2 linked regions of the Diceros bicornis minor genome follow. Each later gene encodes a partner of the first gene's protein in a complex. Links are inferred from orthologs where the notes say so. Each region holds a gene or a part of one and is shown in the gene's direction. Other genes may lie near its edges.

Region 1 (7,967 bases):
AAGCCAGCCCAGGGGAGGGTCAGATCCACGCAGCCACCAGCAGCGCAGTTACCACATTGGGATGCCAGACTGGGCTCCTGACTCCCAAGGTGTTGGGGGGCAGCAGGAGGAGTGTGCTCACGCCTGGCTGGAATCTGCCCTCCCAGGTGGCCATTCTCAGCCAATGAGCAGGACCCCAGACAAGCTTTGATCTTAGCACCATTTCTGCCGGGGCAGGGGCAGGGCAGGCGTCCTGGGGAGCCCAACGGACCCCATGCCATTGGGCCCAGACTCCTGCCCCTGCCTGCCCTCCCGCCCTCCAGGTTGCCCTCATCCACTTCTTCTTCAACCTGGGCGGCATCCTGCTGTGGTACGTGGTGCCCATCTTGCGGCTGCCCATCCCGCTGGCCAAGCGCTTCGGGGACCTGACCGCCCACTACCGCTGGGTGGCCATAGCCTACCTGCTGTTCACCTTCCTGCTGCTGCCACTGGCCACCTTTGGGCTCTCCCTGGCGGGTGGCACAGTGCTGGCCGCAGTCGGGGGGCCCCTAGTGGGGCTGGTGCTCCTCATCGTCCTGGTCAATGTCCTGCAGCGGCACCGGCCAGTCTGGCTGCCCCACTGCCTGCGGTCCTGGGCCTGGCTCCCCCTGTGGCTCCATTCTCTGGAGCCCTGGGACCACCTGGTGAGCCGCTGCTGCCCCTGCAGGGCCCGCAGCCCCCCTCGGGCCGCCAGCAAGGAGGCCCACTGCCATGAGAACCCCGAGGTGCTGGCCTCCCAGCAGTTGTGAGGGGTGGGCCCCCCAGGGCCCCCCACAACCCTCACCCCGCTGACCTCTGGGTGCCCTGGGGGATCCCAGTAGCAGCAAACTTCTGAGTCACCTGGATCATCTTCTTTGCAAATAAACGAGAGGCTGTGACCCGTGTGGGTGATCTTCACTTCCCGACAGGGCTGCCCGGGGACGGCCCCCGGCCGAGCTCCAAGGGGAGCTGGTGGTGGGGCAGCGCGAGGCTGCCCCCTGGCGGACACTCGGGGGCCATGGTGAGCCTGCGTGGGAGCTGGCTGCCCAGTGGGTGTGGGCACAGAGCTGACCCCCAGCCCCAGACTGTATTTCCGTTTCTCTCCACGGCCGTCAGGGACAGAAGTTGCCAAATAGCGGCCAGTCCAGAGCATGGAGACTTCTCGCAGCAAGAAGCCGGGGTCGGAGAAGGCTGGACGCTGCCGGGCCCTTCCCTGAGGGTGCAAGAGGCAAGGGTGGCCGGCTCCCACACACCACCGCCCCAAGGATGTGCACCAGGAGGCTGGGGGCCGCAGGGCTGCAGGGGGTGGGAGAGCCCACACTCAGGTTTCCGGGGCACCCCAGCCTGTGCCTTGTGGCCGCAGGGGCACCACCTGCAGGGCCCTGGCAGAGCAGGTGCTCAGCCCCCAACACGTCCCAGGAAGTGGGTCCTGCCCACGCCCCCTGGCGCCGCCGCACCTGGAGCCCATAGGCGAGCCCCCTCTCTGCCAGTGCAAAGGCCTCTGGGGCTGAGCGCTGGACCCACCCCAGGCTCCCACGCACCCTGGCCCCTGCCCCACCTGTGGCAGCGCAGCGGGTTTCTATACAGGAGGGCTGGTCTGCGGCCGGCCGGTAACCGAACACCAAGGAAACGGCCTGGGCCTCCGGCCCCCCCAGTCCGGTGCTGCCCACAACTCCAGCCCCACTCCCCATGCGACCGACAGAAAAAGCAATCTTTGGTGAACTGCTCCTCCCGAACGCCGCCCTGAGAGAGGCCACTGGCACAGACCGGCGGTGGACGGGCTGCCCCTGGTCAGGTGGCTGAGTTGCCCCGTTTTTTAGAGAGTCTGCTGCTATGGCCGGTCACCTCCTTCCGGGCCAGGAATGCTGCCCTGAAGGGGGCGCACCTTCCATCCCAGCGGCGCCCCCCGCCCCTCCGCCCCAGGCTTGCCTAGCCAGACCCAGGGGGGCAGAATGTGATGGTCCGATGAGGCCAGGGAGCCCCAGGGCCAGCTCTCGCCCATGGTCCTGTCCTTTTACTCACCCTCTGGTCCCCTCAGCAGTGCCCCCACCAGGCCCCCCATCCTCTCAGTCCCCAGTCCCCCCCATGTCTCCCACCCTTTCAGTTCTCTCAGCCCCCCATCCCCTCTCAGTCCCCCGCCCCATGTCCCCTATCCTTTCAGTTCTCTCAGCCCCCCATCCCCTCTCAGTCCCCCGCCCCATGTCCCCTATCCTCAGTCCCCTCAGCTCCCCGTGTCCCCCACCTTCTCAGTCTCCCCCCCCACCCGGGACTCCCAGCCCCTCTCAGCACCTCCCAGGTCCGCTTCCCCCAACAAGCTCCTGGGCCTCCTGAGCCTGGGGTTTCCCCTGTCCACTGAGGGACGTGGCCACCTGTCCTGGGAGCTATGAGAGGCCTGGTGAGAGCAAGACCCCTGAGGCAGGTTCATGCACCCCCTCTTGGGTTCCCCCCACTTCTGTGACCTCAGTACACTCCTGCGGATCTGACATCAGCTTCACGGTCCCTCTGATGGAAGTCTCTGAGGAGGAGCTGGGCCTGGCTAGTTCCCTGGGGACATGCCCTGCCACCCCACCCCCACCCGACAATAGGGATGCAGTGAGAGGGGAAGAAAGTACCCTGTGCACCTCTCCTGCCGGGGGCGGGTGAGGCCGCCCACAAAGGCTGACCACCAGGTCCTTTGAGGCCACGAACGACTGTCTGCCTGCTGCCACTGCCTGGCGGTAACACACCCTCCCGCTGGGACCATGGCCACCAGTAAACAGAGCCACTGTTGTGGACGCCTCCTTCCAACAGCTGCAGGCTGGGGTGGGAGGGCCAGGTGCCCAGCACTCCCACGGCCCCTGCCTGGGCTTCCCTGTGCGTCTGGCCTCCCCTGCTCTGCATCCTGCCAGCCACAGACACCCACTGGGCCCAGGCAGGAACACCCTTGGCTGAGGGTGGGGACCCACAGGGCCTCCTCCCACCAGCCCAGCGCAGGCCCGAGGGAGGCTCCTGCTGTCTTGTTCTCAGCTAGTGTCCACCTCAAAGGGGTAATGGGAGGGGTTACGGCAGACTACCTGTTGCCAGAGAGAGAGCTTGGGGGCTCACACCTGGGAAAACGACACCACCTCTATTTTGTTACCTGTAAAGTTACTGAACTCCCAACCCTGTGGGCACTCACAGGAAGCAGGGGCCTTTTCCAGTGGGGGTCTCAGGCCACATGGCTGGGGGTGGGGGCGTGAAGGGGGACTTTGACAAACCTCAAAGAACCCCAGCAGAGCTTTGCACCGCTCACTGGCTCACCGGAGAAAAATCAGAGCTGCTTTCTCCCTAACTTGTGGGTTTGTGACAACTCAATGCTAGGAGGTGGCAACAGCCTCCTGCTGCAGTGCCTCAGCCTTGCCAGCTGCTGCTTGGGCAGCTAAGCGACTTTCCAGGGCAGTGCGCGGACCCAGGACGCAGGCAGTGACTCTGTGCACCCTACCTGCGTGGCCTGTGGTCAACACAAGCGAGGTCTGCCTCCTTGGACCAGACTGTGGGGAGGGGGCTGGTCTCCTAGGCCCTGTCAGGACGGATGGCACTTTGCCATGCTGACTCACTCTCCAGGCCAGGACTGCAATCCCAGGAGCGCAACTGCAGACCACTCTCCAGGGGATGGGAAGGCTAGTTTCTCTGCCAGCCTGCCGCTGTCCCAACAATTTCACCCAGACTAACAGTTTCAGTTGTGTATACCATGATGTGCTGTAACACAGCAGTACGCCATAGTGCCTTGGCACTGGGTATTACGTGGTGCACAAGGGAGCGCGCACATTCCCTCTACAGAGAGAGAAATAAACAACCAGGTATCGCCCCCAACACCCTCGGGGTGGCGGCAAAGGTGGGCAAGAAGTTCACCGAGAAAACCAGAATCTGGAGAGGCCACAGTGGTTGCGGCAAGGGAGACCGTCTGGGCAGACGCAAGAATGCAATTATTCTTTTTAAAAATGTTACGAAAATATAGCACAAGTGTACTGTTTTTAAGGCGATTGACTAAAGGTGTGAACACATGTAATTTCACTGTTTTCCTGCATTAGTTTTTTTCCCCGCAAACAAAAATCAGGAAAAAGAAGCATTTGTCAGCTCAGGCACGTAGATTCGCGGTTGGGGTAACAGGGCCGGTGAGCCCGGAGGTCGGGGCCCGCCCGCGTCTCCACGCAGCTCTGTGCGCCCCCGGGGCCGAGGCACCACGGCGACGGGCGCGGGGCCAGCGCGTCTCCACAACAAGCGTGACCGCGGGCAGGCCCCCTCCCTCCTCGCCCGCCCCGCTCTCCGCGCCGGGCCGGGGCGCCGCGCCACGTGCTCCCTCACCTGACCGCGCCGGGAGCGGCGCGGGGACCGGGGGGACGCAGGCGACCACGGCCCCATCCCCCCCCGGGCCCAGAGCCCTGTCTATCTCTGCGGGCTCCGAGACCCCGCGGGCGGCGAGGCCAGACCACGCGCGCGCTCGTTCCGCGGCGGCCGCCCTCGAGAGCCGCACGGGGGCGGTCCCCGGGCATCGCTCGCCCACCGCGGGCTGCGGGCACGCCTGGCGCTCCCGAGGCTCCGGCCCGGGACTGCGCCCGCCCGCCCCCGCTGCCGCCCCCGCGGCACTGCAGCGGTTACCAGGACGCTGGCCCCACGCAGCCAATCGCGCCAGCCTGTCGGCGTGCTTTCCGGAGCCAGCCAATGAGAGGACAAATCAATCATTTGAAACATCCAATGGACAGACCACCGCAGCGCGAGGAGGGGAATTTTGATAGGGAGAGCAGAGACCGCGGCAGACCAATAAAGGACGAACGGCGTTGGGAAGGCGGGCGTTAGGCGGCTCGATTGACGACGCTATAGCCAATCAAAAGAGGCCGCTTGCCAGCCTCGTTCTGGCGGGCCAATACGAGGCCGGCGGAGGCGGTCGCGGCGGGCATATAAGCGCTGGCCGAGCGTCGGTTGTAGCACTCTGCGCGCCCGCTCCTTGTGTCTTGTGTCCGTCTTTCCGCCTGCGCCGCCGCCGCCGCCGCCATGAGGGAGATCGTGCACCTGCAGGCAGGCCAGTGCGGCAACCAGATCGGCGCCAAGGTGGGCGGCGGGGCGCCGGGGGCCGGCGCGGGGTTGCCGGGCGGGGCGGGCCGACGGGAAAGATGGCGGCAGCGGGCTGGCGGGTGGCGCCCCTGCATTGCGGCCCCGCGCGGGGTCGGGACCGGGGCGGCGATGGCAGTCGGGGCCGGGGTGGGGACCGGGGCAAGGCGGGGGTCGAGGCCGGGGCGGCGGCACGGGCTCCCGGGGACGGACCCTGCGGCGGGGGAGGGCCGGGCCGCGCCCGTCCGGGGTGGGGCCGGGTCCGGACACCGCCAGCGTGACTCAGCCCCGGCCCGGCCGCTCGCATATCGCAGTTCTGGGAGGTGATCAGCGACGAGCATGGCATCGACCCTACCGGCACCTACCACGGGGACAGCGATCTGCAGCTGGAGCGGATCAACGTGTACTACAACGAGGCCACCGGTGAGACCCCCGCGCCCTTTCCTCACCACTCCTGCCGCCCGCGGCCTTTCCCTTGCTGACGCCCTCCCCCCCGCCCTCCAGGTGGCAAGTACGTGCCCCGCGCCGTGCTCGTGGACCTGGAACCGGGCACCATGGACTCGGTGCGCTCCGGGCCCTTCGGGCAGATCTTCAGGCCGGACAACTTCGTCTTCGGTGAGCCGCGGATAGGGGCTGGGCGGCGGCCTGTTAGCGAGGATGGCTCAAAGGTCAAGAGGTGTCCAAGGTCACCACCGTCAGAACCGCAGAGTCGAGATTCTGATCCACCCTGTCCCCCGAGCAGCAGCTAGGGCTCCTGGACACTCTCCTCCCCCCTCGAGTCACTCAGTCTTCTCTGGTAAAGCGGCTTTGGGAGGAAGGCCCAGCTGTCCGCCCGCAGGGAAGGAGCCGGCAGATGTAATCTCCCTGCAGCGATGGCTGAGCTAGGGGCGGTGGCAGCTCTGACAGCTCATCTGTCCTTGGGAATTGGCAGGAGCTGCCCATGGGAGGGGCTAGCTTATTGTTAAGCCATCTCGGGCCGACTGTTAAGTTTTAGTGAGGCTGGCTGCTGCTGTATCAGTTTGGGGGTCCTTCTGCTCTACCTGCAGGATGAGTTCTGTGTGTCATCTCACTCCAGGTTAATTGGCTATTTTGGCATTGGTGACCACACGCCTGCTCTCTGTTGCAGGTCAGAGTGGTGCCGGGAACAACTGGGCCAAGGGACACTACACAGAAGGCGCAGAGCTGGTCGACTCGGTGCTGGATGTCGTGAGGAAGGAGGCTGAGAGCTGTGACTGCCTGCAGGGCTTCCAGCTGACCCACTCCCTGGGTGGGGGGACTGGGTCTGGGATGGGTACCCTCCTGATCAGCAAGATCCGAGAGGAGTACCCAGACAGGATCATGAACACGTTTAGTGTGGTGCCGTCGCCCAAGGTGTCGGACACTGTAGTGGAGCCCTACAACGCCACCCTCTCCGTCCACCAGCTCGTAGAAAACACAGACGAGACCTATTGCATTGATAACGAAGCCCTCTATGACATCTGCTTCAGAACCCTAAAGCTGACCACCCCCACATACGGTGACCTGAATCACCTGGTGTCGGCCACCATGAGTGGGGTCACCACCTGCCTGCGCTTCCCTGGTCAGCTCAATGCTGACCTGCGCAAGCTGGCTGTCAACATGGTCCCCTTCCCCCGCCTGCACTTCTTCATGCCTGGTTTTGCCCCCCTGACCAGCCGGGGGAGCCAGCAGTACCGGGCCCTGACGGTGCCCGAGCTCACCCAGCAGATGTTTGATGCCAAGAACATGATGGCTGCCTGCGACCCCCGCCACGGCCGCTACCTGACCGTGGCTGCCGTGTTCAGGGGTCGCATGTCCATGAAGGAGGTGGATGAGCAGATGCTTAACGTGCAAAACAAGAACAGCAGCTATTTTGTTGAGTGGATCCCCAACAATGTGAAAACAGCTGTCTGCGACATCCCGCCCCGGGGCCTAAAAATGTCTGCCACCTTCATTGGCAACAGCACGGCCATCCAGGAGCTGTTCAAGCGCATCTCGGAACAGTTCACGGCCATGTTCCGGCGCAAGGCCTTCCTGCACTGGTACACGGGCGAGGGTATGGACGAGATGGAGTTCACCGAGGCCGAGAGCAACATGAACGACCTGGTGTCTGAGTACCAGCAGTACCAGGACGCCACGGCCGAGGAGGAGGGCGAGTTTGAGGAGGAGGCGGAGGAGGAGGTGGCCTAGAGCTGTCTGGTACCCAGTAGAGCGCAGAAGCCTTGTGAACTCTTTATTCGCTCACAACCTGTTTCCTGATAGCCATGTCTTGTTTGTCCACTTACTTTCCTTCCTGTCTTGATGTCGTGTGCTGTACAGACACCACCATTAAAGCGTTTTCATAGTGTCTGCTTTCGCCTCTCCAGTTCCTTCTGATAGGCTTTACGCGTACCGTTTCCAAAGGTCAGGGCAAAGTTGTCCTGCATGGCTGCAAGGGCAGTGCTGCCACTGGGCTCTGGGCTTGCCACGCGCCCAGGGTGAGCCTGCAGGTGGCCACTGGGGGGGTCACGGGCTGTGAACATGCACGCCTCTGAGGAGCTTGGGGCTGCCCTGAGCACCTGCTTCCTGCCCACTGAACCTCCAGAGAGCCAGCATGGTCTGGAGACAGCTGGCCTCTGTGTCTGCAACTTGTAGTAGGAGAGGTCAGTGAGGCCCGTCCACAGCTGGGAATGGTAGAGGGTGGGCAGTCCTACCACAAGAGCCCCTGGGGATAATGTGGTCACACACCTGGCCCTGTGCCAGTGGTGCAGCACTGGTAAGGGGTCTCAGCTGCCCCACCCCTCCCCACAGCGGCCTGGTCACTGTGACTGTGTCTGAACGAGGTGGGCAGGGACCCCAGTGTGTACTCACATGGTACGAAGCCCATATAGAAAGGTATCAGGCCTCGGCTGCTGTAGATGGTGTTG
Region 2 (7,720 bases), on another chromosome or scaffold:
TGCCAATTTGGTGTACATGGCTCTAGCAGTTAAGAGCCATTAGGGCACTCGCCACCTCAAGAATTCTCCCATGGAAGGATAAGTTGGGTCACAGAACAGGGTAGATGACACAGGTCCCCCTGGCAACTTCAAGAAAATGTCCGTGCAATGACAAGGTACTCTGTAAAGCACACACAGTCCCCAAGCCAGCGGAACCTCCCCCCTAGGTGTTGTTCTGGCTCCAAGAGACCCAAAGCTTAGCTAAAGCTGTTCATGTGCATATCAGATGAGGTTTTCTCTTTTGTCTTGTTCTATGTCTTGAGAGCTTGGCTTTGTGACCTTTCTGGTCTCTGCCATCTGGAGGTTGCATGTACTGGCATGCATCTTGGCAGCCAGTCATGTAGACTGGGGATCCAGGACACACTCTCTTTGTCCAGCTGTGTCAGCTCTCAGGGGAGTTCGTCATAAGGGATCTCAATTGCTTTCATAAGGAGCCTTTGTTGTCTCAACTTTCATTGCTTGTTGTGAAACGAAGCCATTTTCTTTCTTAGACTATTTTTGGGAGTGAACTTTCTGGATCTTGTGAGGGCTGCTTTTGCACTCTCTTTTGGGGATGCCTGTTGTGTCCATGGTTAAGCTGTAAAAGTCTTATTGGTATGAGTCGCTGCTAAGATCCTACTCATCAATGTGGCCAGACAATGGATCGCTGAAATTGGGAAAACTTCTAAATTAGAAAAAAAAAAAATTTTTGAGAGCTCTTGTCATAATTGTTTTATTGGTACCTGTGAAAGGCCAAATTGTGTATACAGATAGAAAAAGAGTTTGGTGTTATCCAGCAAAGTTGAAGAAACACATACCCTATGACCCAGCAATTTCACTCCTAGGTATATATCCTAGAGCAGAGGTTTCTGAAGTGTGATCCACAGACCCCTGGAGATCCCCCAGTCCCTTTCAGGGGGCCTGCAAGGTCAAAACTATTTTCTTAACAATACTGAGATATTATTTGCCCTCTTTCACAGTGTTGAAATTTGCACTGATGATGCAAAAGCAATGGTGGGTAAACCTGCTGGTTGCTGTGCGTGAATCAAGGCAGTGCCACTAAATGTACTAGTAGCTGTGGTATTCTGCACTGCCACACACTCGCAGTAACAATAATGCTAGTTTCACTTAAAAGTGTCCTTGATGAAGAAGTGAAAATTATTAATTTTATTAAATCTTGACCTTTGAGCAGATGTCTTTTTGACATGGTGTGTGATGAAATGGGAAGGGAGTGTGGTAAAGCTCTGCTGTTGGATACCCAAGGGTGATGGTTCTCTTGAGAAAGAGCACTGTGTGCCATTGTTTGAGTTGTGAGCAGAATTAGCTAAGCTTTTTAAAAAATGAAACACCATTTTTACTTGAAAGAACAAGTGGCAGACAAACCACGATTATTCAAATTAGAATATTTAGAAGACGTTTTCTTGAAAATGAATGAAGTCTGTCACTTCAAGGAAAACAACGGACAGTGGTTGTGCCAATGACAAAATTTTGAGCTTTCAAGCTAAAATTAGAATTTTGGAAAACTCATATCTGCCTCTGTGAGCTCCACTTCCTAACACTTAAATGCTTCTCTGATGAGATCAGTAGTGATATTAGCAAATGTGATTTTTTTGATATTGTGTAATGAAATATGTGTACATTTGGAAGACGTGAACAACTCAGTATATTAATATTTTCCAAATGACCACTATGATGTTACAGAACCATGAATGGGCGACAGAGCTATTGAAAGAACAAGATCAATCTGTAGATTTTTTTTTTTTTTTTTTTTTTGTGAGGAGGACCAGCCTTGAGCTAACATCCAATGCCAATCCTCCTCTTTTTTGCTGAGGAAGACTGGCCCTGGGCTGACATCCGTGCCCATCTTCCTCTACTTCATATGGGACGCCGCCACAGCATGGCCTGACAAGCGGTGCGTTGGTGCGCGCCCGGGATCCGAACCGGCGAACCCCGGGCCGCCGCAGCGGAGCGCGCGCACCCAACCGCTTGCGCCACCGGGCCGGCCCCAATCTGTAGATTTTAATGTAGCAGAGCTCAAAGAGTTCACTGAATAGTTTCAGAGTCCACATTGCAACTAACCTTTAAGAAACTACCATTTGTTGAGTTTTGGTGTAGTATCAAAGAATATCCACAATTAGCTGCAAAGACTATTAAAATACTTCTCTGTCTTCTAATTACACATCTTTGTGAGACTGGATTTTCTCCTTTAAACAGAACAACATATCACAACAGGTTGAATGAAGAAGCAGATATGAGCATCCAGCTATCTTTTATTAGGCCTGACATTAAAGAGATTTGCAAAAACAAAACTCTTCTCACTAAGTTTTTTGTTTTGGAAATAGAGTTAATGTCCATAAAAATTTAATTATGTTAACATGCAATGAGTTTGCTATTTTAAAATTAATAAATATTAATTAATATATTAACAAATTTAAATTTATATTTAATTAATTAAAATTTGTTTGGAAAATAGAATTACGTGTGATAAAAATTTAATTACATTAACAGGCAATGAGCTTGTTGTTATTATGAAATTAATAAATATATTAATATCAATAATTACTAATAAATATTCAAAAATTTTCCACTTTTAATTTCTAATATGATAAATATTGATGGATATAACCAGTGGTATGCTGATAAACTGACTCTCTTAAAAAAAAAAAAAAACGCTGATACATAGCATTTGCCAATTCTGTGGCATAAATATTCCCACCATGGCTGATTTCAAGCTACCGTGACTTTACAGAGTGTGAGGTTGGGAAGAGATCAAAGCAAAATTGGCTCTCCTCATGAGTTGGTATGACTCCAGTTGGCTCCAGCACCACTAATATAATCCACATTCAAAAGCTCTTTGGGGCCTCAATAATTTTTAAGAGATTAGAAAGCTTGAGAACCACTGCCCTAGAGACATGGCTATCTGGGCACCAGGAGACATAAACCATGCACAAAAAATCCTAGCAACTATGGCTATACATAACGCGAGTGAATCTTAAAAACATTAACTATTTTGAGGAGAAGAAACCAGACTCAGATGAATACATACTACAGGATTCCATTTATACCACTAACAAGCAAAACTAAGCAGTCGTGTTTAGGAACGCACATCCTTTTGTGCAGAGCATTTACAGAAGAGCAAGAAAGTGATGGCTCCGGAAGTCAGGTTGAGTGGGAGGACACAAGTGGGGCACTCCGGGGGGGCTGGCAATGTTCTGCTTCTTGACCTACATGCTGGTTTTGGGGGCTTTTGCTTTACCATAATTCATTTATCAGGACAATTATTTTTAATGTACTTTTTCACGTTTGTGTTGTATTTTATAAAAAAAGGTTTTTAAAAAGTGAAATTATACAGAACACGTGGATCCCCTGCTCTTTGATTGGAAAGCCACCCCCTCTTCCTGGCGCTAGCCCTGCCTAGACTCTGTCCCTGCCAAATAGACGCTTGCTCTGCTCTGTGGTACATCTATGTCCTTTTCCTGCCACGTGCTTAGTTTCAAGATGGAGCCAATAATTTTCTTAGAGTTGGTCTATTTTTATTTGTAGGTAATTGGAAAACACTTCCTCTGAATTGCCTACTTGAAATAGAATGTCTTCATTTGTGGCGAGCAAGACTACGTGATTCTGCTTCTTAACCATATATCACAGGCACCTTCCTATGTCAGCACTTTTTAACAGCTACGGAGTATTTCATTATATGGCTGTACCACAATTTATTGAACCAGCCCTCTGTTGATAGATATTTAGGTAGCTCCTGATTTTTTTGCTCGATGAGTAAACAAGATAACGGCCTTTATCCCATTGGACTGAGCTCTGTGGGGATGGAGCCCCTGTCTACTCAGCCATGCACTGCAGCCTCAGCTCAGTGCTCCAGATGTAGCATGTGCTCAATAAAATGATTGTGAAGTGAATGAACGAAGACTAACCAAATGAACTGTTTTGTATCAGTTCGAGCACGAAGATAGGATTCTCAGTGGAAGTCCCGTAGGCAAAGGAGCAGACAGGTAGTGAGTGGAACCCAGTGGTCTAGGCCTGAATCAGAGTGGATTTAAATCCCAGCTCTCCCACATGTGTGACTTTAAGCAGCTACTTAATCTCTCTTTGCTTCAGTGTCCTCACCTGTAAAATGGGTATAATAATGGCACCTGCTTCACAGGGCTGCTGTGAGGATTAAATGAGTAAGTACACGCAAATGTCTCTCTATGGGCTTAGCACATCAGTACTCATTAAGCAGCAGTAGAACGCAATCATCTCAACTCACACTAGTTGTAAAAATGCAGCATGGATGATGCCTTTCAAGGGGTGACAACACGGAAACCACGTCCTTCTGGCCACTGCTTCTGTGGTGGTGGTTGTTGGTTTGATTGGCTTTTGTGGGGTCAATTTTGCTCCTGAAGAATCAGCTGCTCCCATAAGGAGAATATGTATACGCAGAGGCCATCACCATGGAGACAGTCAACAGTAGGGAATCCAAGATCACGTCACCTCTCCCTGGATGCTGAAAGTGGACTCTCAGGACCTTTTTACTCTGTGAGGTTGGCAGGGTGTCATCTTACTACTCACTCAGAAGGGTGGCTGGGAAGAAAAAAAAAGGCATCCCAAACTTAATAGCTTCATAACATCTCCTCAGCCCTGAAATCTTAGACTGTGTCAAGTCAAAGACACTCAGGGCAAATCCTTACCATGCAGTTTTTGACTGCAGTAATTCCACAGTCATTTGCTACTCCAAGCTGGAAGATCGAGACCAAGTATTCAACCAGAGTGCTCATTGGAAACTGGGTGGAAGAGAGGGGAAAGGTAAGGGAAGAGAGAAGATGGGCAGAGGGGCTCAGAGGGAGGACTGGCAGGGAGAGGTACGAGCGGGTCATTACTATTTCTAAATCAAGAGCCATAGATGATTCTATTTTCGGAACGTGGCATTAGGGTCTCTGTGCTCTACATAGGGGAGTTGCATTCAAGCAAGCATCAAGGTCTCCACTATATCCTGAAAACACAATAGCAGAAGTGTCAATATAGTCGTGCCTTGCAGTACTGTTTTCAGTGGGGTGTTTCTAGGCATTTGATGTTCCCTGTCTGTAATCCCTCTACACCTTGATTTGAAGAATGTCTGCTCTCCCTGGCCTGGCCTTCCCCAGAATGTGGCACCTGCTAAGGCAGGCTTGATACTCCCTGCACTGATGTCCATGGATGAAGTGCTGCTCTCTGGCACCTGTTCCACAACCTTGCCCCGTCTGTGCATTTCAAGTTTTTACTTTCAAAACAGAACCAATGGGCTCTTGGTGTTCTCATGTACTTTGAAGGCCATCGCAAAATATTTGCCTGAATTGGCCTACTTGTAATTGAATATCTTCATTTGTGGTGATCAGGACTGAGCCACTTAAATTTCTGCAGAGACACCTAGACATCCTCATGCCTTCTTGGGAAATGGGCAGGGAAAAGAGGGTGAGATAGAATCGGCAGCTTTGATGTACGTGTAGGGAAAGGTGGTGGTAACTTCTGAGAACTGGAAAAGGTGATTTTCATGGAGGACATTAGAATTTACCACTCCTCTGGCCAGATATGCCTTGTGTTAGCCCTAACTACACTTGGCCTTGTTTGGGGAGCAGCTGTGTGTCAGGGAAGTTCCAAGGATAAGAAAGACTAGCTGAGCAATCCCTTCAGGCTCCTGTGGGTGAGGCAGTACTCAGGAATATTATGGGCTGGTTCTACACCCAGAGGAGATTGCATAAAGAGAGCAAAGTTGGAGTGATGTCAGAAAGATGGCAGACTCAGAAGCTCCAGGTTCTCGTTGTCCCAGAAACACTTAAACAACAACTAGCTAAAATAACTATACAGGAGCTCTGGAAAACAGTCAATGGTCTACAGTAACCAATTTAGAAAAAGCCACATTCAAAGTGGTAGGAAATTCCACGTTGTTTTTACTTGCCCTTTCCCGTTCCCTCCCCAGCACAGCATGATGCAGTGTGGGGGAAGCACTGGCCCAGCTCTCAGTTCCCTTCCTTGAACCTAGAGGGAGTGGAGCAACATTCTAACTTGTCTGGGGTCTGCCTGAGGGATTGGTCTCTATTTTGCTTAACTCAGAGCTCATACAGGGAAAAGTGGCATAGTTCATATTTCAGGCTAGGAAAAGCTGTGGAGAGCAGTGGTGATCACAGCTAGTGAAAGCTGCCAGGGGACTACAGGCCTGAAAATGTCTAGGGAAAGAGATTACAGGTAGAGGAATATAACAGTATACCTAAGGCCCTAAGAGGAAGCAAAGGAGAGACTCTTTGGGAAATGAAGGCATTTTAAAGCAGCTATGTATGCAGGGGAAATAAAAAAGCACCCCCACACACACACCCACACACACACACAAGCCAAGGCAAGACGCATGCTCAGAAAATTCCTGAGAAGAACGTAAGCCTTCACACCAGGCTAATTCCATGGCTCAAAACATGCCTTGCTAGTTAGTGGAGATCTTCCCTCGAATGGAGCCCGTCTGCAAAGACTAGGAGAGGTGGCTGTTTTTTCAAATGCCCAATTTTCAACAACAAAAAGTCATAAACCATACAAAGAAACAGGAAAACACAGCCCATTCAGAGGAAGAAAACACAGTGGCAAGCACTATCCCTAAGAAACATAGGCATCAGAAGTACTAGACAAAAACTTTAAAACAACTGTCTTAATATGCTTAAAGAGCTAAAAGAAAATATGGACAAAGAACTAAAGGAAATCAGGAAAATGAAATATGAAAAAAATGAGAATATCAATTAAAAAATATAAATTATAAAAAGGAACCAAAAAAATTATGGAACTGAAAAATACAATAACTAAATTGAAAAGATTTCACTAGAGGCATTCAACAGTGGACTTGAACAGGCAGAAAAAAGAATCAGAGAACTCAAAGACAGATTATTTGAAATTATCAAGTCTGAGTAGCAAAAAGAAAAAAGGAGAAAATTGAACAGAGTCTAAGGACTAATGGGACACCATCAAGCAGACCAATATACACATTATGGGAGAAAAGAGAGAGACAAAGGGGCGGAGAGATTATTTGAAGAAATAATAATCGAAAACTTCCCAAATTTAAAGAAAAGACATGGATGTACAAATTTGAGAAGCTTAATGAATTCCAAGTAGGATAAATTCAAAGAGACCCACATAGAGACACATTATAATCAAACTGTTGAAAGTCAAAGACAAAGAGGGAATCTTGAAAGCAGCAAGAGAAAAATGACTCATCACATACAAAGGAGCCCTTATAAGATTATCAGTAGATTTCTCAGCAGAAACTTTGTAGGCCAGAAGGCAGTACAATGATATGTTTAAAGTGCTCAAAACAAAAAAAACTATCAACTGAGAATACTATAGCCAGCAAAACTGTCTTTTAAAAATGAAGGAGACATTAAAACATCCCCAGATAAACAAAAGTTGAGGAAGTTCACTACCACTAGACCTGCCCTACAAGAAATGCTAAGGGGAGTCCTTGGAGTTGAAATGGAGCAACACTAGACAGTAACTCGAAGCCATATGAAAATATAAAGACCTCTGGTAAGTGTAAATACATGGACAAATATAAAAACCACTACCATTGTAATTTTGATTTATAACTCCACTATTTTCTACCAGATTTAAAAAACAAATGCATAAAAATAATTATAAATCCATGTTAATGGGTACGCAATATGTCAAGATGTAATTTGTGACATCAATAACATAAAGCAGG

Evidence for each region. Proteins that work in one complex are often made in the same cells at the same time.
Region 2: the proteins of TUBB4B (region 1) and CFAP107 are in contact, whole or in part, in a cryo-EM structure (PDB 9CPB), measured with the Bos taurus proteins. The link is inferred for Diceros bicornis minor from reciprocal best matches to the Homo sapiens genes TUBB4B and CFAP107. Residues at the interface, in NP_001029835.1 of Bos taurus: Lys19, Glu22, Asp26, Tyr36, Asp39, Ser40, Asp41, Leu42, Gln43, Leu44, Glu45, Glu53, Gly56, Gly57, Tyr59, Pro80, Leu215, Leu217, Thr219, Thr221, Tyr222, Gly223, Asp224, His227, Leu228, Ala231, Gly244, Gln245, Phe270, Pro272; in NP_001033296.1 of Bos taurus: Thr74, Val75, Glu76, Gly77, Leu78, Tyr80, Lys81, Leu83, Ile84, Thr85, His86, His87, Gln88, Glu89, Gln92, Arg93, Tyr94, Leu95, Ile96, Ser97, Thr98, Asp101, His102, Pro133, Pro138, Thr139, Asn140, Tyr141, Leu143, Tyr144.

The regions. Positions count from the first base shown.
Region 1 is NC_080767.1:43,763,719-43,771,685, forward strand, and holds TUBB4B (tubulin beta-4B chain), read left to right. Parts: upstream 1-4,953; 5' UTR 4,954-5,007; coding exon 5,008-5,064; intron 5,065-5,378; coding exon 5,379-5,487; intron 5,488-5,568; coding exon 5,569-5,679; intron 5,680-6,190; coding exon 6,191-7,251; 3' UTR 7,252-7,400; downstream 7,401-7,967. Other genes in the region: SLC34A3 (sodium-dependent phosphate transport protein 2C), read left to right, coding at 303-767; CIMIP2A (protein FAM166A), read right to left, coding at 7,401-7,489, 7,912-7,967. UniProt on the Homo sapiens protein: Tubulin is the major constituent of microtubules, a cylinder consisting of laterally associated linear protofilaments composed of alpha- and beta-tubulin heterodimers.
Region 2 is NC_080752.1:31,704,587-31,712,306, forward strand, and holds the start of CFAP107 (cilia- and flagella-associated protein 107), read left to right. Parts: upstream 1-4,698; coding exon 4,699-4,812; intron 4,813-7,720. UniProt on the Homo sapiens protein: Microtubule inner protein (MIP) part of the dynein-decorated doublet microtubules (DMTs) in cilia axoneme, which is required for motile cilia beating.